Mus musculus: one gene and its partners. The protein of the gene in region 1 interacts with the protein of each later gene in a biochemical or structural test. Links are inferred from orthologs where the notes say so. Each region holds a gene or a part of one and is shown in the gene's direction. Other genes may lie near its edges. The genes, in order: Snca, Plk2, Ensa, Gba and Apoe.

What was found.
Region 2: of the proteins of Snca (region 1) and Plk2, one has a biochemical effect on the other in vitro, tested with the Homo sapiens proteins (2 studies listed by BioGRID). The link is inferred for Mus musculus from reciprocal best matches to the Homo sapiens genes SNCA and PLK2.
Region 3: the proteins of Snca (region 1) and Ensa form a complex in vitro, tested with the Homo sapiens proteins (2 studies listed by BioGRID, with this or other methods). The link is inferred for Mus musculus from reciprocal best matches to the Homo sapiens genes SNCA and ENSA.
Region 4: the proteins of Snca (region 1) and Gba form a complex in vitro, tested with the Homo sapiens proteins (2 studies listed by BioGRID). The link is inferred for Mus musculus from reciprocal best matches to the Homo sapiens genes SNCA and GBA1.
Region 5: the proteins of Snca (region 1) and Apoe form a complex in vitro, tested with the Homo sapiens proteins (2 studies listed by BioGRID and IntAct). The link is inferred for Mus musculus from reciprocal best matches to the Homo sapiens genes SNCA and APOE.

The regions. Positions count from the first base shown.
Region 1 is NC_000072.6:60,825,695-60,830,372, reverse strand, and holds the start of Snca (alpha-synuclein), read left to right. Parts: upstream 1-1,368; 5' UTR 1,369-1,649; intron 1,650-2,745; 5' UTR 2,746-2,771; coding exon 2,772-2,892; intron 2,893-4,678. UniProt on the Homo sapiens protein: Neuronal protein that plays several roles in synaptic activity such as regulation of synaptic vesicle trafficking and subsequent neurotransmitter release.
Region 2 is NC_000079.6:110,393,181-110,398,058, forward strand, and holds the start of Plk2 (serine/threonine-protein kinase PLK2), read left to right. Parts: upstream 1-1,863; 5' UTR 1,864-1,996; coding exon 1,997-2,257; intron 2,258-2,834; coding exon 2,835-2,942; intron 2,943-3,095; coding exon 3,096-3,212; intron 3,213-3,410; coding exon 3,411-3,540; intron 3,541-3,726; coding exon 3,727-3,814; intron 3,815-4,290; coding exon 4,291-4,386; intron 4,387-4,507; coding exon 4,508-4,706; intron 4,707-4,793; coding exon 4,794-4,878.
Region 3 is NC_000069.6:95,627,676-95,630,612, forward strand, and holds part of Ensa (alpha-endosulfine), read left to right. Parts: intron 1-865; coding exon 866-1,032; coding exon of another isoform or gene 1,033-1,036; exon of another isoform or gene 1,037-2,818; intron 2,819-2,937. UniProt on the Homo sapiens protein: Protein phosphatase inhibitor that specifically inhibits protein phosphatase 2A (PP2A) during mitosis.
Region 4 is NC_000069.6:89,201,223-89,206,054, forward strand, and holds the start of Gba (lysosomal acid glucosylceramidase precursor), read left to right. Parts: upstream 1-1,705; 5' UTR 1,706-1,864; intron 1,865-1,969; exon of another isoform or gene 1,970-2,138; intron 2,139-2,249; 5' UTR 2,250-2,264; coding exon 2,265-2,319; intron 2,320-2,762; coding exon 2,763-2,954; intron 2,955-3,052; coding exon 3,053-3,199; intron 3,200-4,224; coding exon 4,225-4,358; intron 4,359-4,569; coding exon 4,570-4,742; intron 4,743-4,832. UniProt on the Homo sapiens protein: Glucosylceramidase that catalyzes, within the lysosomal compartment, the hydrolysis of glucosylceramides/GlcCers (such as beta-D-glucosyl-(1<->1')-N-acylsphing-4-enine) into free ceramides (such as N-acylsphing-4-enine) and glucose.
Region 5 is NC_000073.6:19,696,249-19,700,988, reverse strand, and holds the start of Apoe (apolipoprotein E precursor), read left to right. Parts: upstream 1-1,800; 5' UTR 1,801-1,978; intron 1,979-2,367; exon of another isoform or gene 2,368-2,465; intron 2,466-2,515; exon of another isoform or gene 2,516-2,585; intron 2,586-2,590; exon of another isoform or gene 2,591-2,735; 5' UTR 2,736-2,758; coding exon 2,759-2,801; intron 2,802-3,341; coding exon 3,342-3,510; intron 3,511-3,885; coding exon 3,886-4,609; 3' UTR 4,610-4,740. UniProt on the Homo sapiens protein: APOE is an apolipoprotein, a protein associating with lipid particles, that mainly functions in lipoprotein-mediated lipid transport between organs via the plasma and interstitial fluids.

The DNA.
Region 1 (4,678 bases):
GTATTTCACTATTTATATGTCACTTTACCTGGCTGGTTGAGGACAGGTGTCCTAACTTGGCAGGATGGGGATGCTAGAGCCCAGGATCTAACCCTATCTACTGCAGAGGTGCCACCTTTTCCTTTAATTTCAAGTAAACATGGTATGTGCCACTAGTGTGTAGGAAGGTTGATTTTTAAAGGGAATAAGAATTGAAGGCGTTGCTTAAACAGTTAATTTCTGTCACATTACTTGTACTCTGCATTTGTGGTTTTATCTGCCTCCTTCCTTTATAGCATGCCAAACAAGCTGCTTGTCCCTTGTTTCAAATGCTTTTTTAGACTTCAATTTATTTATTTATTTATTTATTTATTTATTTATTTTTCAGGATTCAGAAGTCAACTGACTTCAAGGATCAGAGAAAGCATTCCCTCCTACGACCCCCCCCCCCTTTTAATACAGTAAACGCTTGATTTAGCTTCCAGTGCCCAACACAAGTTCAGAATACAAGAAAGGAAAAGCAAGGCACTCTGCTGGGGGAGGAGCTTGGCACTCAAATCCACTCTGCTATAAAACAGTGGTATTCTGCTCATCTCAGAGAGAAGTGGGAACGTGTTAAGTAACACAGAAATTGTCTCAAAGCCTGTGCATCTATCTGCGCGTGTGCTTGGATTGGAAGAAGAGTCTGTTCGCTGGAGCTCCACGCAGCCAGAAGTCGGAAAGGTAAGAGGTGTGCAAAATCTGCCATTAAGTAGGGACTAAGGAAGAAACTGCCTGTGATGGTCCCAGAGGGTGAATCCCACAGCCGCTACCTTCCTATCCTGTAACTCTATAGTAAGCCACTTTCTCAAGTGCAAAAAAGCCTTGAGGCAGCTGGTTTTCGACGGTTGGGGGATATTTATTCCTTGCTCCACAGATGGGGAAAAAAAAATCAGCGTCTGGCAGCCGCTGATTGGTGGAAAAGAAAATGGTGATAGTGGAGTGGGAATGAGGATTTGCTGAGCCTCCCCCTGCTTCTTCGACCTGTAACTCTTCCTTAGTCGGCTCCCCTTTGCACCCAGAACCCTTTTAGACTCCTCCGGGGTAAAAACAAATGGAAATCTTAAGCTGTGTGAACAAAAGCAACCCCAAGGGTGTGTGCTCCCTCTCCATTGCCTGGCTCCGCACACAGACCATTTCAGGCGGTCCAGCTCTCTGGTGTGGCATCTGGGCTCGTCCTGGAGGAGGGGGTCGCCTAGAGGAACTGGGAACAGACTGAGGCAGGGAAGGAGGGGGGTGGGGCAGGAGAGGCGCCAGCTCAAGTTCAGCCACGATAAAACTGAGGGCCCTCTGAACTCGAGGGGAGGCTCAGGCCGTCCTCTCTTCCTTCCATCCGGGGGAATGTGCTCCAGATACCCACAGCCCTCACGCACCGCACCTCCAACCAACCCGTCCCCTCCCTAGGAAGAGGAGCGAAGGCACGAGGCAGGCGAGGGGCGGGGAGAGGCGCTGACAAATCAGCTGCGGGGGCGACGTGAAGGAGCCAGGGAGCCAGAGCGCCCGGCAGCAGGCAGCAGACGGCAGGAGACCAGCAGGTGTTCCCCCTGCCCCTGCCTGCCCTTGCCTCTTTCATTGAAATTAGATTGGGGAAAACAGGAAGAATCGGAGTTCTTCAGAAGCCTAGGGAGCCGGTAAGTACCTGTAGATGGGGCAGCTCTGGGGATCTTAGCTAGCCGGAGCAAAGAGCCGGGACGCCTAGAGAAGACCAACTACAGCTGCTTTGGCGGTGGGGACTGGGCCAGTGCGTGGAAAGTACATCACTCGGCTTTCCTTTCGCTGGAGACATGCCCTTCCATCCTGTCAAAGCCCGAGGGAAAGGCCAGGTTGCCTGTGGCATCTGCTTTTTCAAGCGGAAACGCTAGGGTGTTTCATGTTGAGTGCTGGATGGTGGAAGCTTAGTGCTGGGCATTGGGTGGAATTTGAGCATCCAACTTTCATGCTCCAACCCCAGGCATTTCAGCTTCTTTCTGTAGAGGAAGAAGGGTGCCTTTGGCCCATGATTAATAGAAGTGCAGAGGACAGTAGGCAACAGGTGATAAAGGGTTAATGAGCATGGGGTGCAGGGTCTTCTAGAGGATTCCAGCTGAGGACAGAGCTTCTTGGTTGGGTGGTGCTCAAGTGAGACTGCTCAAGTGTATGGACAGCGCCTGCTCTGGGCAGATAGCAGGCAAAGAGCTAGTGGTGGGCAGAAGGTCTTGCAAGATTAGAAAGGCTGGGCTTCAAGCAGTTCCCTACTTCTAGATTAAACAGTTCCCCTCCCTTCCTTCTCCAAAGACTGACTCCTCTCTGGGTCTTTTATCCTCTTGCCCCCACTCCATCTCTGTACGCCCACCTCCCATGTTCCTTTTCTAGATAGTCTTTTTACTTTGAATGTAACCTTTGGGCCCTGGGAACTTGATGGGGTAGAGGATGCCCACCTCCCCTTCTGCAACTCTTCTTCTGAAATATGTATGTAAGAGCAGTCGAATGATCAAACTAGATCCATCCCATCCTTAAGTGACATGACTTTTTCCTAGTATTGAGTGACATAACTCAACAATCAATCAACACTGTGCCCAGCACCCCCACATCCCCCCACCCAAGAAATCACACTTACACCAGGACTTGGGGGAAGGCATACTGATTTTTCCCCCTCAATTTCCTTTCTTTCTCTAGCTGTTTTAAACCTTATTATTATTATTTTTTTACCCAAATTTTCTAATTCAAAATGTATTCTGTATTCTCTAGTGTGGAGCAAAAATACATCTTTAGCCATGGATGTGTTCATGAAAGGACTTTCAAAGGCCAAGGAGGGAGTTGTGGCTGCTGCTGAGAAAACCAAGCAGGGTGTGGCAGAGGCAGCTGGAAAGACAAAAGAGGGAGTCCTCTATGTAGGTAGGTAGTGACACTGTGACTAATGAATTGGGGTGGCTGGTGTGTGGTGTCTGATTCGTGTGCATCACAGCTTCTCAGAAGAGTGACAGCTGTGTGGAGGTGAGAGAATATGAACCTGCATATTAGCTCTCAGAAACAAACAGGGACAATGTTTTCTGTCCTTAGATTCATTAATCTTGTTATTTATGTAGGTTTTTTATTTGGTTTTCTGTTTCTGTGTATGAATACACTGAATTTTAAAAATTGGCAACCCATGAAAAATAACCAAGAATATGCTTATGAATCAAAGACATGTATGGCAGTAAGCCTGGTGGCATTTGGGAAGTGGAGGCCCAAGGACCAGGAGTTGATGGTCATCTTCAGCTACACAGAGAATTTGATGCCAGCCTGAACTATGTGAGAACACACACACACACACACACACACACACACACACACTCACACTCTCTCTCTCTCTCTCTCTCTCTCTCTCTCTCTCTCACACACACACACACTCACACACACACACAATACACACACACACACTCTCTCTTACACACACACATACACACATACACACATACACACACACACATACACACACACACACACTCACACACACACACAAAGAAATAAAGAAATAAAGGAAGGAAGGAAGGAAGGAAGAAAGAAAGAAAGAAAGAGAAAGAAAGAAAGAAAGAAAGAAAGAAAGAAAGAAAGAAAGAAAGAAAGTGAGCCACAAGTACTCATGGGACTTTGATTTCTTTCATCATCACTATAGGTAATACCTGCTAAGTTTAATAAATTATAAAGCTTTAAACAATAGTTTTGCATAATTTTATTTTACAACTGTGAAAATACAACTCCTTTGACCCTCAAATAGAAGAAAGAAAGCAAGTCTTCTTTGGTGGATCTCCTTTTAGGGATCACTTGGTCAGTGGGAACAGCGGGACTTAAGGAACTTCAGAAATGTTTGTTTAGTTCACCTGTCAGAGATCATACATGCTGAACAGTAAGAGGTTGATATTTAGTGCCATTTTCTGCCTGACTGTACACATTGAAAGGAAGGCCAACACTCCCTTTCTCTGTCTTTCCCTGTGTTAAATTGGCTGTAACTTTACAAATCCCTTCTAGTACTTTCATGGAAGGAATAGACACCCATGCACACATGCTTATCCCCAGCAGAGACACAGGTGCACATGGGAGCACAGTTGCAGGGTTCATCTACCTCTCTTTCCTCCTGTGAACACTGTTTCCACCTTCTTAGGAGGGCATCTCTCTTGGTGGAAGACTCAGGGTAAACATTCAGGCTGAAAAGGAGCAGAACAGGTGGCAAAAGTGATGCAGATGCTACCCAGAGTACCAATCGGGGGAAGCCATGCTGACCCTCCAAACGATCAGTGAGGAATTGATACTTGTAAACATTTTCATGAATGTGTCTTTTCATTGAAGTTTCTAGCAGATCACCTTTCCTAATTCTTCACAGAATAATTTTACATTGAATTAATTCTCTTTTTCTACTTAAAACATCCTTTCAGAAAGTCTTGTAATGAGTATTGTAAGAGAAGGGTGTCAATGAGCTAATTTTAGAGTGTTTTTTTTTTAATGAATTGTGAAGTATAATGTTTTAGATAGAATTCAGAATATAAAAGCAGTAATTTGTAGATTTGGGGAAAAACTCAATTCTTCCACAACTACAGGCTTGTGACTGATTTTTTTTTTTTTTACTTCAGTTGCTTAAGAAACATATCTGTAGATCACTAATTTAAAGCAAATTTAGAAGTTGTTGAATATTAATTTAGTATAT
Region 2 (4,878 bases), on another chromosome or scaffold:
TTACGTACTGTGTTAACCGAGACAATAGGACGGGCATGGAGTTCGCAAAACTTCGTGGTTCTATGAAAAATGTATTGATAATAGCTATTTAAATCGTCTAGGACCCCGTTTCTTCACCTGTAAGATGGGAAAGATGTAGACTAGGCTATGTCCCTTCAAAACAGGTCCACAGGTAGCTAGACTATGTCACCCTCAATGTAACCGCTGAGTCGGGATAAGTTTGAATTGAATTAAAAGATAGGTAGACACAGAAAGCCTGAAAGTGGCACACCACTTTTTTGTAAGGAAAAAGAAAAAAAATCACATTTATTAAAAGAAGTCTCAAGTTCTAAGTCTCCAGAACCAGACAAAAAGAACGATTCTAAGTAACAAACTTATCAGTGAAAAACATAAACTCTTCCCTATTTACTCCCTTGTTCCCGACTGCCTTTTGTTTCCTGTCTTTTCCCACACTCTTGTTTTGGCTTCTGATAGCATTCAAACCTCAATTCTAAGCCACTTTGGAGGGTACTCTTTTTGTTGTGAATGGAGAAACTTGTGGTTCTGCAGTTTATCTGCCCAGCCCGAGGAACCACAGTGATAATTTGAAAGGGTAGAAGGAAAATGATTTTCCCTCCCCTAATATGGCAGACTTTTTCATTCAGGATTGTATTAAGATGATATAGACAGGGCCGGGCAGTAGTGGCGCACACCTTTAGTCCCAGCACTTGGGAGGCAGAGGCAGGCGGATTTCTGAGTTCAAGGCCAACCTGGTCTACAGAGTGAATTCCAGGACAGCCAGGGCTACACAGAGAAAAGAGAAACCCTGCCCCCCCCCCCAAAAAAAATGTATACAGCATTTCAAAATAGCTACCAGCGGTTAATACGGAACCATACGCGCTGGAACAAGGAAGAAGGAAAGTCTCTGAGATGGTACAACTGAACAGTAAAATCTGTAAAAACTGAACAGCCGCCTTTATTCTCCACTATACCCCACTGTGGGACCTTAGATTGACTCTGTGTACCAGGGCGGTGACATTGCTTAGTGACATTAGATCCACGCAATCTGAATCACCTAGTTGGAACAAAAAGTTATAGATGACTTCAATTGTAGAATTATAATTGGCAACAGAACACTTTTAGCGTTACTGTGGAAGCCAGCCCATATTGTTGCTAAGGAACCTCGGCCCACTTAGACCGTTAATCGTTTTTCTGAAAAAATCCACAGGATGGCGATCTTGCTTAGACTTGTTGCGTACCAAACCTTCTCCAGTCGTCAAGCCCTCGCTCCACTCCAAGGTTAAGAGCCTGGCCTCTGACAGGGGTCACTTATCAGGCGATGGGAAGAGGCTGCAGGGAGCTCAGATACTCCCACGCCACAGCAGGTCACCCGGATCTGCGACCCGGATTGTGCCTGGTTCCCTAGCTGCTCTGGCTCTGCCTGGTGCCCGGTTCCGCAAGGCCGGCCACTGAGCCTCCCGCCTGCGGTGGCGGCGGAGGTCCCCAAGCGCTCCGGGTCTCCGGGTGCCACCCCGCGGGGCTCGCTGGATGACAGGGTGTGGGGCTGCACACAGTCAGGAGGGCGGTGCCAACCCTGCGGCTCCCCCGGGCTGCTACCCCGCATCCCCGCTCCTCCAGGACCCAGACAGGGCGTCCGCCCTTGGGTTTCTGTTTCCCACGTCCAAAGTCAGGGCACGCGACGAACTGGGGGCACTTGGCGTACCGCCGCCTTCAGGCCAGGTCGAAGCCCACGACATCCAGGCGGCCACCCCGCACCTATCCACAGCGCGGACTCCGGGGCCGGTGGGTGGAGCGCTCGCCGTGACGTCACGAGGCCCCGCCCCAGCCAGCCGGCGCGTATTTAAAGCTTCGCTGCTCGCTCTTGCTCGCACAAGCGAAGCAGGACGTCAGACTAGAGAGTAGGGAGAGAGACTGGTGCTCGAGGGACAGGGCTAGCCCGGACGCTTGTCCGCGCCTCGGAGGTGGCAAGTAGGCAGTGTCGGGTGGCGAGGCAACGATGGAGCTCCTGCGGACTATCACCTACCAGCCGGCCGCCGGCACCAAGATGTGCGAGCAGGCTCTGGGCAAAGCTTGCGGCGGGGACTCAAAGAAGAAGCGACCGCAGCAGCCTTCTGAAGATGGGCAGCCCCAAGCCCAGGTGACCCCGGCGGCCCCGCACCACCATCACCACCATTCCCACTCGGGACCCGAGATCTCGCGGATTATAGTCGACCCCACGACGGGGAAGCGCTACTGCCGGGGCAAAGTGCTGGGCAAGGTGAGGAGCGGCGGACGTCAGGCTGCCGGGCGGGAGGGCGGGCTGCCCGGGCAAGCTGAGCGAGCAGGGACCCAGCGCCCGCACTTCTCGCTCCTTCAGCTGTCTGGTTCCCCGAACGATCGACGTGGGTTCCTCTCCTGCCCTCCTGGGCTTCTGTGCGCCGACAGCGCTGGGGTTCGGATTTGCATCCTTAGCCTGTTTTTCTCCCGAGTCTAAGAAGGAGGACTGAAGGCATTCTACCTTGGCCTTGGGCTCTCACTATCTGATCCCCAGGGAGCTAGCCTGTCAAATTTCTTCAGAGGGCATTTTCCTCCCTTTCCCCCTTCCACTCCCTTCTCCATAGAGTTCTTTGTAAAGGGGAAACGAGAAAACTGGACTGGTTTCTAGGAATGTGCTGCCCTTCCTGAAAAACCATTATACAAAGCAGATTGTACTGCTCTGCCCACCCTCTGTTCCTCAAATTTTGCTTCCCGTTCCCATTTACGTATTCATTTATTTTAAACGTTGGCCCTTCATTTTTTTTTTTTTTCCTTTTTTCTGTCCTGCTCAATTCCATCTCGGCTTTGTTTCCTCGCAGGGTGGATTTGCAAAGTGTTACGAAATGACAGATCTGACAAACAACAAAGTCTACGCTGCAAAAATTATTCCTCACAGCAGAGTAGCTAAACCTCATCAGAGGGAAAAGGTGGGTATGACTGTCGACTAAAGTATTTTCTTTGTGTGCAGGGATGGCCCTACCCTGTTAGAAAAAAAATGTCTTCTGCATGTGTAAGCACTGCCTTTCCAGACACGACGAGAGACTAATAAGCCTTCTCTTGCTTTTTTTATTTTTCCTTAGATCGACAAAGAAATCGAGCTTCACAGACTACTGCACCATAAGCATGTCGTGCAGTTTTACCACTACTTTGAAGACAAAGAAAACATTTACATTCTCTTGGAATACTGCAGTAGAAGGGTAAGTGTTGACTCCTGGGTCAGCGAGCTTGCCGACAGGAAGCCGGAGTGGTGTTTGGATTACATTTTATCAGCGGTTTTAGCCGTGACAGTTAATTAGTCTCCCACCATATGAGACTGCGTCGTCAGTCCAGCAAAGGGATGCCCGATCTAGGTAACTTTATTTGACAAATTCTCCTCTCTCCCCTTCTCTTCCTAGTCCATGGCTCACATCTTGAAAGCAAGAAAGGTGTTGACAGAGCCAGAAGTCCGATACTACCTCAGGCAGATTGTGTCAGGACTCAAGTATCTTCACGAACAAGAAATCTTGCACAGGGATCTCAAGCTAGGTAAGGCTTCTCCTGCAGCGACGGGGGTGGGGGTGGGGTGGGGGTGGGGGGGTGGGGGCTAGAGAGTGGGAGGTTTTCCAGTGTTGTGAATCTAGCTTTTTGAATGGGTGCCTTCACTGGAGGGTGCTGATCTCCAAGTGTGAACCTTTCCAAGGGAGTTCATGTTTCCTTTTGTTTATCTTCTAGGGAACTTTTTTATTAATGAAGCCATGGAGCTGAAGGTGGGAGACTTTGGTTTGGCAGCCAGACTGGAACCACTGGAACACAGAAGGAGGTGAGAGCCATGCTCTTCCTGGGGTTTGTGGAGACCAAATATGCCTCTATTATTAGTTAATAGAAAGTTAGTTCACACTACAATCTGCAAACCACAGCAGTGTTACTAAACGGAAACTTGTGTGCACTCTTGAGCGAGATAACTTACACCTCTAAATGGATTATTAAGGCAATCAATAAAATAAATGTTTAAATTTACTTGATATATACATACACACACATACACATGTACACACGCACACACAGGATCTGGTCTCATCTGGTTAAAAATACTTGGTCATATGGGCTGGGCAAATTGTACACACATTAAAAAATTACCAAAAGAAACTTGGTCAAATAAAAACACTAAAAAATAGTCAAGTAGAAAATGAGAAAAAAAAATTCAAGCTTTTATTTCCCATTGAGTCATCCCCAGAGAAGTAATTTTAATTGAAGTCATAGTTCCTAATGAGATCTTGCTATATTCTGTCTTCTCAGAACAATATGTGGAACCCCAAATTATCTCTCCCCCGAAGTCCTCAACAAACAAGGACACGGCTGTGAATCAGACATCTGGGCCTTAGGCTGTGTAATGTAAGTAAATGCACTAAAAAAAAAAAAAAAAAAAAAAAAAAAAGCCAAAGTTGACTCAGTCATGATGCTCAAAAAGAGTTCCTTCTTGACCATTTCTGAAGATGTGCTTCTGTGTACCCAGGTATACGATGCTGCTAGGAAGACCTCCATTCGAAACCACAAATCTGAAAGAAACGTACAGGTGCATAAGGGAAGCAAGGTATACCATGCCATCCTCATTGCTGGCCCCTGCTAAGCACTTGATAGCTAGCATGCTGTCCAAAAACCCAGAGGACCGCCCCAGTTTGGATGACATCATTCGGCATGACTTCTTCCTGCAGGTCAGTGCTCTTTGACCTTTCTGTAAAATTGAGTGTCATCGTCCTGGTTGCTGGAGAGGTTTCTGATGGTCTCTTCTGGTTCCACAGGGTTTCACTCCGGACAGACTCTCTTCCAGCTGTTGCCACACAGTTCCAGATTTCCACTTGTCAAGCCCAGCCAAGAATTTCTTTA
Region 3 (2,937 bases), on another chromosome or scaffold:
CCTGTACAGAATGATAGAGGATGTAGCTCATGGGAAAGCACTTGTCTAGCCTGGGTTTAACCTATAAGGCCACAAAAGTGAAGAAACAGCAGCTGGAATGGCCTTCCTTAGCAGTGGAGGGCTGCCTTCACAGCCATCTCCTTCGTGGTCAGGTTTCTCCCTACCATGAGCTGACAGCAGATTATAAGGACAAAGCTGCAGTGTAAAGATGAGATGGAGAGAGAAGCAGCCTCCTGTGGAGAATCCCAGGTGCTCAGTCTTAGTCACAGATGACAGTGTGATGTTGAATTGCAGCTCCTCTTGAGGCGAGCCAGGCGTAGGCAGACAGTCTCACCATGGAACATGTGTGGGAGTGGTGGGAGTCTGGAAAGCTCACTGCCTCACGAGCAAGCCCAGTGCCTAATCCTGCTCTGAGAATATTTTCTAACTCTGATAGTCGGTTTCTGGTTGGTCTCTAGCTGCTGGTAGACCCAGATTGATTCTTCTTGAGTCTTATTCATGCTTTTCCCCAGCACCAAGGTATTGCTTTGGCACCTAGCTGTTACGAATGAAGTAAGTGATTGTAATTGAACCTTCTAGTACTCAGTAAGGTACAAAAGATACAGGAGTTGTCACCTAGGTTCAGGGACACAGCTGCCCCTTATGCAACAAAGGTACATGTTTCTGCTAGTAATCTGCTTATATTCTGACAAGGTCAGAGCATGCTGGGAAATGAACTTACAAGTGAGTAATGTGGACTGTGTGCATGGGGAATACTTAGACAGCTGAGGTAGGTGGGAGCTTATGCTGACGGTAGACAGTGAGTCTCTGCTTTTGGAGAACACCAAGGTTGCACATTCATCTAAACCTCGCTCCTGTCTCTTAGCAAAAGTACTTTGACTCAGGAGACTACAACATGGCCAAAGCCAAGATGAAGAACAAGCAGCTGCCAAGTGCAGGAGCAGACAAGAACCTGGTGACCGGTGACCACATCCCCACCCCACAGGACCTGCCCCAGAGAAAGTCCTCGCTCGTCACCAGCAAGCTTGCGGGGTAACCTGGGCCCCTCTCTTCCCCTTCCTCACCCACTGGACTGTTATATATTGTAGGCAGGGAATGGGCACCTAGTCAGAGCTCAGCTTGCCATCCAGGGGAGACATTCTGCTGGGGGCTTAGGTTGAAGATGGGCTCTGAGTTCATTTCTTTGGGTAAATTGAAACTTGTACACCCTCATGATAGCCCAGTAGAGACCCAAGAGTAGGAAAGACTAGGAGTGCAGAGTGCTGCAGCTTTTCCTGTGGTGAGAATGTGGAAGATGCAAGTTCTCCTGTTGGAGGAGCAAGTCCTTAGACGGGCTATCGTGGAGCAGTGTGACAGGTTCAGTGTCCCAAGGCTGAATTGACATGCTGAGAAAGGTAGAGTGAAGGAGATGCTCTCTGTGCTTCTAAGTGTGCTGTCCCTTAGGCCTCTGTGCTCTGTGTTCCCATCGTGGGTGTTTAGGGGACCTTCAAAAGAGAGGAGATTTCTGCTTGCTTAAAATTACAGGGCCCACCTAACCCCTCTGCTGTGTTCCTCCAACAGCTGCCCTGCTTCTCAAGGAGTGTAAAGTTTAACAGACGTTAGCTACTTATGAAAAAGAAAATGGTATCTTTTCTCTTCCAGCATGTTGCTTTTTGAAAGTATTATGGGATAATGGAAAGAGTTTAGGAGTTGAAATACTTGGGCTGTAGTTTTTGTCAAGCTCAACAGCACTGATGTGTGAGCTTGGCCAGGTCTGTAGCCTCTCTGAATTGATCCTGTTCCTCGTCTGTAAACAGACGGAAACGCGTGTGTAGGCTAACTCTGACTCTAAAGTCCTACACCTGCCATACCCTTCTGGTCATCATAAAACCAAAATTGAGGCAGGCCCATGGCTGAACCTCAGCTCTGTAGAGCCAGAAGTGCTACATGGGACGAGAGAGAGTTTGAGATTTAAGGGCCATAGCTTCCAACAACAGTCTCATAGGTATCATAGCCTTTTTGAGAGAGAAAGAGAACAAACCTGAAAAGGCTGTCCCTGGATGTGTCTTGACTCTGCCCATTTTCCTGGGTCTGCTGTTGACCCTAGCTGCTACAAAGCTGCTCTGGCAGCAGACTGGATAGGCCTGAGGAGACAGGCTCATTGACGTGGCATCTTGCTTCAGATGTATGTTAGGCATGGAGGAAGAAGGGATGAAGGGAGCTGGTCCCCAGAGCTTAGAGCTACTGCCAGCTGGAGCAGCTGCTCCTTAGCAGATGATTCACTGGTGGAGGATGGAAAGAGGGTGCAGGGAGGGAGGCAGCAGCCTGTCTTGCTGTGTCATCACTAGTTTGGCCTGGATCTTACTAAATGCCACCTGCTCGTCATCGACAGAGAGGGCCAGAGTGAGAACTGCTCAAAAGAGCAAGATGGTGCAGTCTCTCTCCCCTTTCCAGATTGCACTGTGCCCTTAGGATGTCTGGCGAGTTTGTGGATGTGTGTGTTAGGGGAAGGACATGTAAATATGCCCTTCTCCTGATTGGCCACTGCCCAGGTCTCTGGCCATCATTCAGATTGGGTAGAAATAGATTGGTGAGGAAGGAATGGAGAGAGCAGGACCCCTGGTCTCCCTGGCCCCCAAACTCTTTGACTCTCATTTGTAATGTATATAATTTTGTGTTTTTTGCTCCATTTTCTCATGCTGTCATCCTTAATGAGAAGTCCATGTGGGAAGGGGACAAACTGAACATCACTGTATAGTTTCTTCAATGTCCCAACCATGTTTACATAGATATGTCATGTTATTATATATATAAATATATATATAATTTTGTACGTTTTCTTCATCTCCGATCTTCTCGAATTCTGTACCTTTTTCTCCCCTGTCTGAGCTGCCTTATCTATTGGTTAGATTTGTGTCTCCAGAGCTGATATGTTCACAATGAGTCTGGTTTTTAGAA
Region 4 (4,832 bases), on another chromosome or scaffold:
ATCTTTTCTGTATTGTTCCAATTTTAGTATATGTGTTGCCGAAGCGAGCACCCAGCTACTGATTCTTAAAGTGATAACCAAACAGTATATGATTGCCAGTTGCCAGGACTCAAACCAATGCAGCTCCAAGCAACTGTAATTTAAATATTGCCAGAGCTGAAGAAGATAACTAATCAATTTTTTAAAAAGGGTATGTGGTAATTATAAGAATGTAAAAACCTCACTCAGCAAGCATAAAGCTCCTAATGTGTAATTACAGACTTCCCTTGACTTCTCTTGCTAACGCTAGTAATGGTTCTGTGAGACTATGCTGGTGTCTATGTTGGGCAAGTGTGGAAACAGGCTCAGACTTCCCTTGACTTCTCTTGCTAACGCTAGTAATGGTTCTGTGAGACTATGCTGGTGTCTATGTTGGGCAAGTGTGGAAACAGGCTCAGAGACCTGGACTTAGTCAGATCACGCTGCATGTGTCACTGCCAATTAATCAACTTTATTGTGGCTCACAAGGAAACCCGGACGACAGCCCTCTTCTTGTGTCCACCAAAGACAGACAGCATTTTCCAGTTTCCTGGGAGGAAGGATGAAGAGCTTTCCAGCCAGCATCTGATGATAAAGCAAGAGAATCCAGAAACGGCCAGTGGGGACCACTCCCTCCCTTGGTCCTGATCTCCAGAGCCCGACAGCAACTCCCTGCACTTACTGTGACTCCCCCCCCCCCCCCCCCCCGCCTGTTCTTCTGGGAAGGGTCCCCTTTCCTCTCAAGGAGTCTTGCAAGTATACCTCTCAACATTTCTGTCTGTCTTCGCCTGTAACTCCGTGTAAGTGTCTGACTCATGTGTCTCACTAGTCTTTTTAGGATAAAGATTGTGTGTATGTGGGGTTTGTTGTTGTTTTTCGAGATAGGGTTTCCCTGTGTAACAGGACTGGCTGTCCTGGAAATTGCCCCATAGACCAGGCTGGCCTTGAACTCACAGGGATCCGCCTGCCTTTTCCTCCCAAGTGCTGGATTTAAAGGCATGTGCCACCAATTCCAGGCTGTATGTGGGGTTTCTAAATTTTGTTTTTATTTATTTTTATTTTTTTAAAAGATTTTATTTGGGGTTGGAGAGATGGCTCAGTGGTTAAGAGCAGTGACTGCTCTTCCAGAGGTCTGGAGTGTCTGAAGACAGCTTACATATAATAAATAAATAAATATTTTCTTTAAAATATTTATTTATTTATTTTTTATATATATGACGAGTACCCTGTAGCTGTCTTCAGACACCAGAAGAAGGCGTCAGATCCCATTACAGATGGTTGTGAGCCACCATGTGGTTGCTGGGAATTGAACTCAGGACCTCTGGAAGAGCAGTCAGTGCTCTTAACCGCTGAGCTATCTCTCCAGCCCCTTGTTTTTATTTTTAAATTTTATTTTTAAATTATGTATATCTGTGTGTCGGTATGTGCATGTGAATACAGTGGCCCTCACAGGCTAGAAGTCCTCTCTGTCTTGGATTTAGGAGCCTCTACTCAGCTGTCCATACAATCCTTGTTAGAATTCTCTTCCTAAAGGTGTCATCCTTTAGGCCTCCCCAAAATTCACAGGGTATGCAATGAATGACTAACCTAGAAGAGCCCAACTGCCCATTACAAATATGGCTTCGATTGCTTCACTTCCTGCATCACGTGACCGGCTTAGTCATCATGTGACTCTGTCCGCCCCTTTAAGCCGGAAGGAACTTGCTGTGCTAGTCGGTTCCAAGAGCTATGATATCTGTCTGTGTTTTATTTGGTAGGTCTTCTATCCCTCCAAGGCACAGAAACTTCCACAGTCTTCTCATTCGCTGGTCCTGAGTAGCTCCAGTTTCCAAGATCTTCTGGAGAGGTAAGCGGGCAGGGCTACAATTTGCCTTGTCAATCTTGCTTCGGGAATTCTGCCTATCTAGATTATGGAATTCGGTGAGTTCAATTTTTTTTTTTTTAAATTCAGGGCATCATGGCTCTTTGAGGGCACAGATGGAGGGAGGGCTGAAGGTTGAAATCGATGGGGGAAAAGAGTGAAGAGAGTCTTCTTTGGAGTGGGCAGCAAACTCCCTAGCAGAGTGAATGAATGCAGGACGCCTCCAGGGTCTACGGGCACTGTCTAATCACTAATAAAGGTGGGAGCCTATGCTGTGAGCATCCACAGGCAGCTAAACTCTGGCCAGGAGGGTGGTTGCAGGGTAGAGAGAGTCTTACACTATTATCTTTCCTCTACATTTTCTTCTCAGAAGTGTGCTGGTGTCATGGCTGCCAGGCTCATCGGATTCTTCCTATTTCAGGCGGTATCTTGGGCATATGGTGAGTCTAGGATGGAGATGGAGGCATGAAGGTGTCCCCTGCCCCCAAAGTCCTCTGGTAGCCTTCCATTATGGTGCTGAAATTTCAGTAGGGACTCTGTAACTCTTTTAGAATGCCTGAGACATCTTTGGGCTGGGAGTATGGTGGAAGGATTTTTTTAAAAAAATATTTATTTATTTATTATATGTAAGTACACTGTAGCTGTCTTCAGACACACCAGAAGAGGGCGTCAGATCTCGTTACAGATGGTTGTGAGCCACCATGTGGTTACTGGGATTTGAACTCCAGACCTTTGGAAGAGCAGTCGGGTGCTCTTACCCACTGAGCCATCTCACCAGCCCGGATTTTTTTTTTTTTAATTGTTGTTCTGTCTCGTACCTAGCATGCCCACTCCCTCATAAACCCGCTTTGATGCCTGCCTCTGCTTGTGCCCTGCCTCCTAGGTGCCCAACCCTGCATCCCCAAAAGCTTTGGCTACAGCTCAGTGGTCTGTGTCTGTAATGCATCGTACTGTGACTCTCTTGACCCCGTGACCTTACCGGCTCTGGGTACCTTCAGCCGTTACGAGAGCACTCGACGTGGACGTCGGATGGAGCTGAGTGTCGGGGCCATCCAGGCCAATCGCACTGGCACAGGTAGCCACTTTATCTGTCCCTCTAAGCCTGGACCCAAAGTCACACCAGTGATCAGCATGTCCTCTTCTGGACTCTGACTTTTCCTCTTCTTTTCCCAGGGTTACTACTCACTTTGCAGCCAGAAAAGAAGTTCCAGAAAGTGAAAGGATTTGGAGGCGCCATGACAGACGCCACTGCGCTCAACATCCTTGCTTTGTCCCCACCTACTCAGAAGCTGCTACTCAGATCCTACTTCTCTACCAACGGTGAGGAGGGCAGAGCAAGGTGGTACACTGTAACTTATGCCCCTTTTCATACCCTGGCTTTATTTTATTTTTAAATTTTTTATTACATTTCATTATCTCTTGTGTGTGCTGTGCATGAGTGAGGGGGAGGTCAGAGGACAATTTTCGGGTGTCCACTGTCCACCATGGGACCCATGGGCTAGAGTCGGGGGTCTTCCCACGGAGCTGTCTTGCCAGGCTTTTTGCTCTTGCTTCCATACTTTTCCCGGACATTTGCCTCCCTTCCTTTTCTTCTCTCCTCGCCTCTGTAATGCTCCTGGAGTAGACCTCATGTGTTCCAGACAAATCTACTGTGTAGTCAGTGATGGCTGAACTCCTGCCTCTCGTCTCCTGAGTGTTGGAATTACAGGTGTGCATTAGCAAGCCCAGTTCACACAGTGTTGGAGCTCAAACTTAGGGCGCCATGCATCCTTGGCAGGCATTCTGCCACCTGAACTACATCCCCAGCCTGCCTCTCAGTTCTTACTCTTTCCCTTTGTCCCATCCCTACCTTGCTTTACCAGGCTTGCCTCGAACACTGTAGCCATGACTAGCCTCGAACTCTTTTCTGACTTAGTTTTCCAAGTGCTGGAATTACAAGTATTATGCCACCAAGTGTACCAGGCCGATGGTTCCTGACTCAGTGCCACTGAAATACGATCACCTTTTTCAATATTCTGCTAAGTACTTAGGAAATACATGTGCAGAGGGGCTTCGGTTTCACTTAGGTTCTGGTCTCCACAAGCCCACACCTAGACCCTGGCTCTGAATGAGGGCCTATTGAGGACTAATAACTGATTAAAGCCAATTTTCATACTCACCTTGTTTTATTTTATTTTATCTTATCTTATTTTGAGACAGGGTCTTGCCTTGTAGCCCTGGCTGGCCTGCTCACATTGATCTGGCTGCCTCAGCCTCAGGAGGAATGGGATCACAGGCATGGTACACTTGGCTCCATAGTCTCCTATTGATTCAGATCTCCCTATCTTGGCCATCAATTCCTGCAGGAATTGAATATAACATCATCCGGGTACCCATGGCCAGTTGTGACTTCTCCATCCGTGTCTATACCTATGCTGACACCCCTAACGACTTCCAGTTATCCAACTTCAGCCTCCCAGAAGAAGACACCAAGCTCAAGGTGGGCATTCTAGTTGCCTCAGCCCTATTGGATTGCCGTCTTGGGGCTGGGAAGGTCCAGGTTAGAGCTGTCTCTAGAGCAACATGGAACATTCTGCAGCCTATTTGACTTGGGGGTAAGAGGGTGGGGGCTGATGGTTGGACCTGATGCACTGGTAGAACTAGTATGTGTTCCAGCTCTGGGTGTCTCTCTCTTCACTGTTTGTCTCCAGATACCCCTGATTCACCAAGCCCTGAAGATGTCCTCACGCCCCATTTCACTCTTTGCCAGTCCCTGGACATCACCCACTTGGCTCAAGACCAATGGAAGAGTGAATGGGAAGGGGTCGCTCAAGGGTCAGCCAGGGGATATCTTTCACCAGACCTGGGCCAATTACTTTGTCAAGTAAGGGATCGTCAGGGCCCTGGGATCTGGACACCGTAGTCTACATCGTATCCCTTGACCTGCTCCACTTTCAACATTCCATGCCTTTCA
Region 5 (4,740 bases), on another chromosome or scaffold:
CTCCCAGTGGGAAGGTCAGAGGTCTCAGAAACTTCAGGAAGAAACGGAGTTCCTGGAAGTTCAGCACAATAAGGAAAGTTACTCTGGGAGGAACGGGCCCTAGCACCTTCCCAGGCTGAAACAGGAAATGTCAAGTTGTTTTGTTTTTTAAATTTTGTTGAAGATGTAGCTCTGGGCCTCACGTGTCAGGCAGGTGCTGCTGGGTTCCCTATAGTGCTTTTCCGTGAGGCCTGCTCTGGGGTGTGCGATAAGGGCCTCAGATTGGGCTCTGCATCTCACTGCTGCACCTCATGGCATCCCAAGGGAAGCAAAGACTCACGATGAACTGGTCAGTGTCCTAGACCGCAGCACTAAGACCCTCTCTACTGCCTGGGCTGGAGATGGGAGCTGGCCCTTAGCAACCCATGAAAATCATCTCACCACACCCAGTCCTTGCCAGTGTTTTCTGAAGCCAAAGCTAACAGGCCTGGGCCTGGCCAGGCACCCTGTACGTACCCTTGGAGCCAGGTGTTCCGCCTCTGCCCATCCTGCAGAATCATGTTTTGCCGTGTCTGGTGCCAAACACTGCTATGTGGCTTCTCTCCTGCCATCAACAGCTGGGAACAGGGAACCTTGTGCAGGCAGTGCTTCTAGCAAGCTTGCTGTGGTCTCTGAGCCCCTTGTCCTACCTGACTTCCCAGGTACAATGGCTTTCCCACTTTTTGGGGGTTTTGTTGTTGTTGGGTTTTTTTTTGTTTTTCAAGACAGGGTTTCTCTGTGTAGTCCTGTCGGTCCTGGAACTCACTTTGTAGACCAGGCTGGCCTCCAACTCAGAAATTCACCTGCCTCTGCCTCCAAGTGCTGGGATTATGGGATTAAAGGCATGTGCCACCACGCCCAGCTGGCTTTTCCACTTTTTAGCCAGGACTTCATTCTATTACCTGAGCTCGGGATCTTCCTGCCTCAGCTTTGCATATGGCTAGCACTATAGACCCATGTTCCAGTGAATGACTTATGGCTTGTCTTTTTTTTTTTTTTTTTTTTTTTTTATGTGCATTAGTGTTTTGCCTGCATGTATGCCTTCGTGAGGGTAGCAGATCTTGGTGTTACAGTTGTGAGCTGCTGTGTGGGTGCTGCGATTTTGAACCTAGGTCCTGTGAAATGCAGTCAGTGCTCCTAACCTCTGAGTCATCTCTCCAGCTCCTGCTCTTCTGCTTTTATGAGGAAAAAGAAAAGAGAAGTGGCTTGAGAGTGGAAAATGCACATGCAGGGGTGCACACCTGCAGTCCCAGCATGCTACAGCAGAGGCAGAAGGACCTTTGTGGGTTAGAGGGCAGCCTGAGAATCTTATCTCAAAACAACTTTTTAAAATGTGCTCTGTAGGGGTAGCTCTTCCCTCCCAAGGTGACACATCTGGCAATCGCCAGAAACAGATCAGGAGCATCAACGCTTGGTTTCCCAGGGCTTGGCTTAATGTATGGCTTCAAACCCATCGGGAGCCACCACTGAACAGCTCCTGAAGGAACTGGAGCACGTCCCAGCCTTGGAATGGAAAGAGTTCACCTGTGGTGGAGGAATCAACAACGAGGGATCCCAGAACAACGATCTTCACCCCAGAAGCTGAGCCTCTTAGCCCCCACCCACCCATTTCCATTTAGGCTGCCAGCTCTTTTCTTTACAATGCACCAGACCCCGCGGGGAAAGGGAAGGAGCGGTTCTCAGTGCCCCAGTACCAAGGCCTGGATTATTCAATGAGGTGTCCGCTCCCTTTGTTGGCGGGGGAGGGGAGCGGGGGGTCACAAGGCATCCAAACTCCACCTCTTTCCTCTGCCCTGCTGTGAAGGGGGAGAGAACAACCCGCCTCGTGACAGGGGGCTGGCACAGCCCGCCCTAGCCCTGAGGAGGGGGCGGGACAGGGGGAGTCCTATAATTGGACCGGTCTGGGATCCGATCCCCTGCTCAGACCCTGGAGGCTAAGGACTTGTTTCGGAAGGAGCTGGTAAGACAAGCTGGGCTGGGGATTCACCCAGGGACCTTGGTAGGATGTGGGCTGGGAACCTTGAGATCCCCCGGAGTCCAGGAAACAGGCACAAGAATTGGAAAAGCAGGCAGCACGATAGAAGTCTTGGGGGACAAACTAAGGACTCGAGGTAACTAGCCTTTGCCAGAGTCAGAGCAGGTGGAGGGGTTACCTCCAGGAAGGAGTACGGGACTGTCGGTGCACGGCGTACCGGCTCAACTAGGAACCATCCTATGGCGAAAAAACTCGGGATGAGCCTTAGGCTGCTTTTATATAAATACCTACTGATTTCCATCACAGTCCCCAAGTAACCCGGACTGGTTTCAAACTGTGGCTCCTCATGGCTGAGCTCCCTAAGTTCTGTAGTTGTGGGAGGGTACCACTTCGCAGGGATGGAGGACGATTAAAAATCGTGTTAAATTAACACAAAATGGAAAGCAGGACTTAGCCGGGAAGAAAGAGGAATGTAAGCTGGACCACCCGCTGGCCCTCTGTGAAGTGGAATTTGAACCCTAGGAGAGGGAGCTGGAATTTTTGGCAGCGGATCCACCCCGGGGTGCCGAGATAGCGAACTCGGCAAGGGGAGGTAAACAGACCTTTGGGAAGAGCGGGTGCTCTGTTTTGGAGATGTTTGTGATGGCTCACAGATCTGAGAAGGGAAGATGGGGTTCTCTGGGTGGCCGGAGTCCCTCCACCCCCGCCCCCTGGTGTTCAAAGACAATTTTTCCCTCCGCAGACTGGCCAATCACAATTGCGAAGATGAAGGCTCTGTGGGCCGTGCTGTTGGTCACATTGCTGACAGGTATGGAGCAAGGACTTGCTGTGGTGCCGCTTTTTCTGCTCCTCTGTGGACTCTATTCTAGCCCTAGATCTCTTCTGCTGGTGGGTTGAGGCTGAGGCGGTTCTGAGACCTCTCTGAGATTCAATAGCCCTGAGCAGCTGTTTTATATACTCTTTAGGCCTTGATTTCCCCTAACTATAAGAGGATTGATGGCTTAGTGGGTAAAGGTGCTTATCATAAAGCTTGAAGACTTAACTCTGAGACCAACATAGTGGAAGGAGAGAGCCAATTCCCTCTAGAACTCTGACCTCCAAGGGTACACACACACACACACACACACACACACACACACACAATAAAAAGTTGATTTCTTAGTTGCTCTTAAAAGTGGGGTATACATTTTCTAATTCCACACCTGCCTAGTCTCGGCTCTGAACTACATAGGATACAAGACAGTGCATGCTTGTAGTATCTAAACAGACTCCACAGCCTCCAGACCCACTTCAAAGAGACCCAAAAAGACTGTAGGTCCTGACCCAGCCTTAAACTTACTCTACACAGGATGCCTAGCCGAGGGAGAGCCGGAGGTGACAGATCAGCTCGAGTGGCAAAGCAACCAACCCTGGGAGCAGGCCCTGAACCGCTTCTGGGATTACCTGCGCTGGGTGCAGACGCTGTCTGACCAGGTCCAGGAAGAGCTGCAGAGCTCCCAAGTCACACAAGAACTGACGTGAGTGTCCAGCTCTTTCACCCTCGGCAGGCACCAGCTGATCCAGGGTTGCCTCCTATCTGGGTCCCCAGCCCCTTCTTGTTTCCTTTCTCAATTAGTGTGTAGCCCAGGTTGGCCTTGAATCCTCCTGCCTTCTTTAGCCTTCTGGATGCTGGGAGGAACAGACATTTATTACTTGCTTGGTCGATTGGCTTTTGGCTTCTTGAGACAGGATCCCATTCTGTAACTCAAGCTGGCTTCGAAGGCTCTGCAATTCTTATGCCGCAGCTTCTCAACTTCTGGGAACACAAGCGAGTACCATCACCTCTTGCTCTGTGGTTTCTGGCCCTTCTGTCCTGCCTTCATCTCCTTCCTGTGTTTCCTCTGGGCCTGCAGGGCACTGATGGAGGACACTATGACGGAAGTAAAGGCTTACAAAAAGGAGCTGGAGGAACAGCTGGGTCCAGTGGCGGAGGAGACACGGGCCAGGCTGGGCAAAGAGGTGCAGGCGGCACAGGCCCGACTCGGAGCCGACATGGAGGATCTACGCAACCGACTCGGGCAGTACCGCAACGAGGTGCACACCATGCTGGGCCAGAGCACAGAGGAGATACGGGCGCGGCTCTCCACACACCTGCGCAAGATGCGCAAGCGCTTGATGCGGGATGCCGAGGATCTGCAGAAGCGCCTAGCTGTGTACAAGGCAGGGGCACGCGAGGGCGCCGAGCGCGGTGTGAGTGCCATCCGTGAGCGCCTGGGGCCTCTGGTGGAGCAAGGTCGCCAGCGCACTGCCAACCTAGGCGCTGGGGCCGCCCAGCCTCTGCGCGATCGCGCCCAGGCTTTTGGTGACCGCATCCGAGGGCGGCTGGAGGAAGTGGGCAACCAGGCCCGTGACCGCCTAGAGGAGGTGCGTGAGCACATGGAGGAGGTGCGCTCCAAGATGGAGGAACAGACCCAGCAAATACGCCTGCAGGCGGAGATCTTCCAGGCCCGCCTCAAGGGCTGGTTCGAGCCAATAGTGGAAGACATGCATCGCCAGTGGGCAAACCTGATGGAGAAGATACAGGCCTCTGTGGCTACCAACCCCATCATCACCCCAGTGGCCCAGGAGAATCAATGAGTATCCTTCTCCTGTCCTGCAACAACATCCATATCCAGCCAGGTGGCCCTGTCTCAAGCACCTCTCTGGCCCTCTGGTGGCCCTTGCTTAATAAAGATTCTCCGAGCACATTCTGAGTCTCTGTGAGTGAT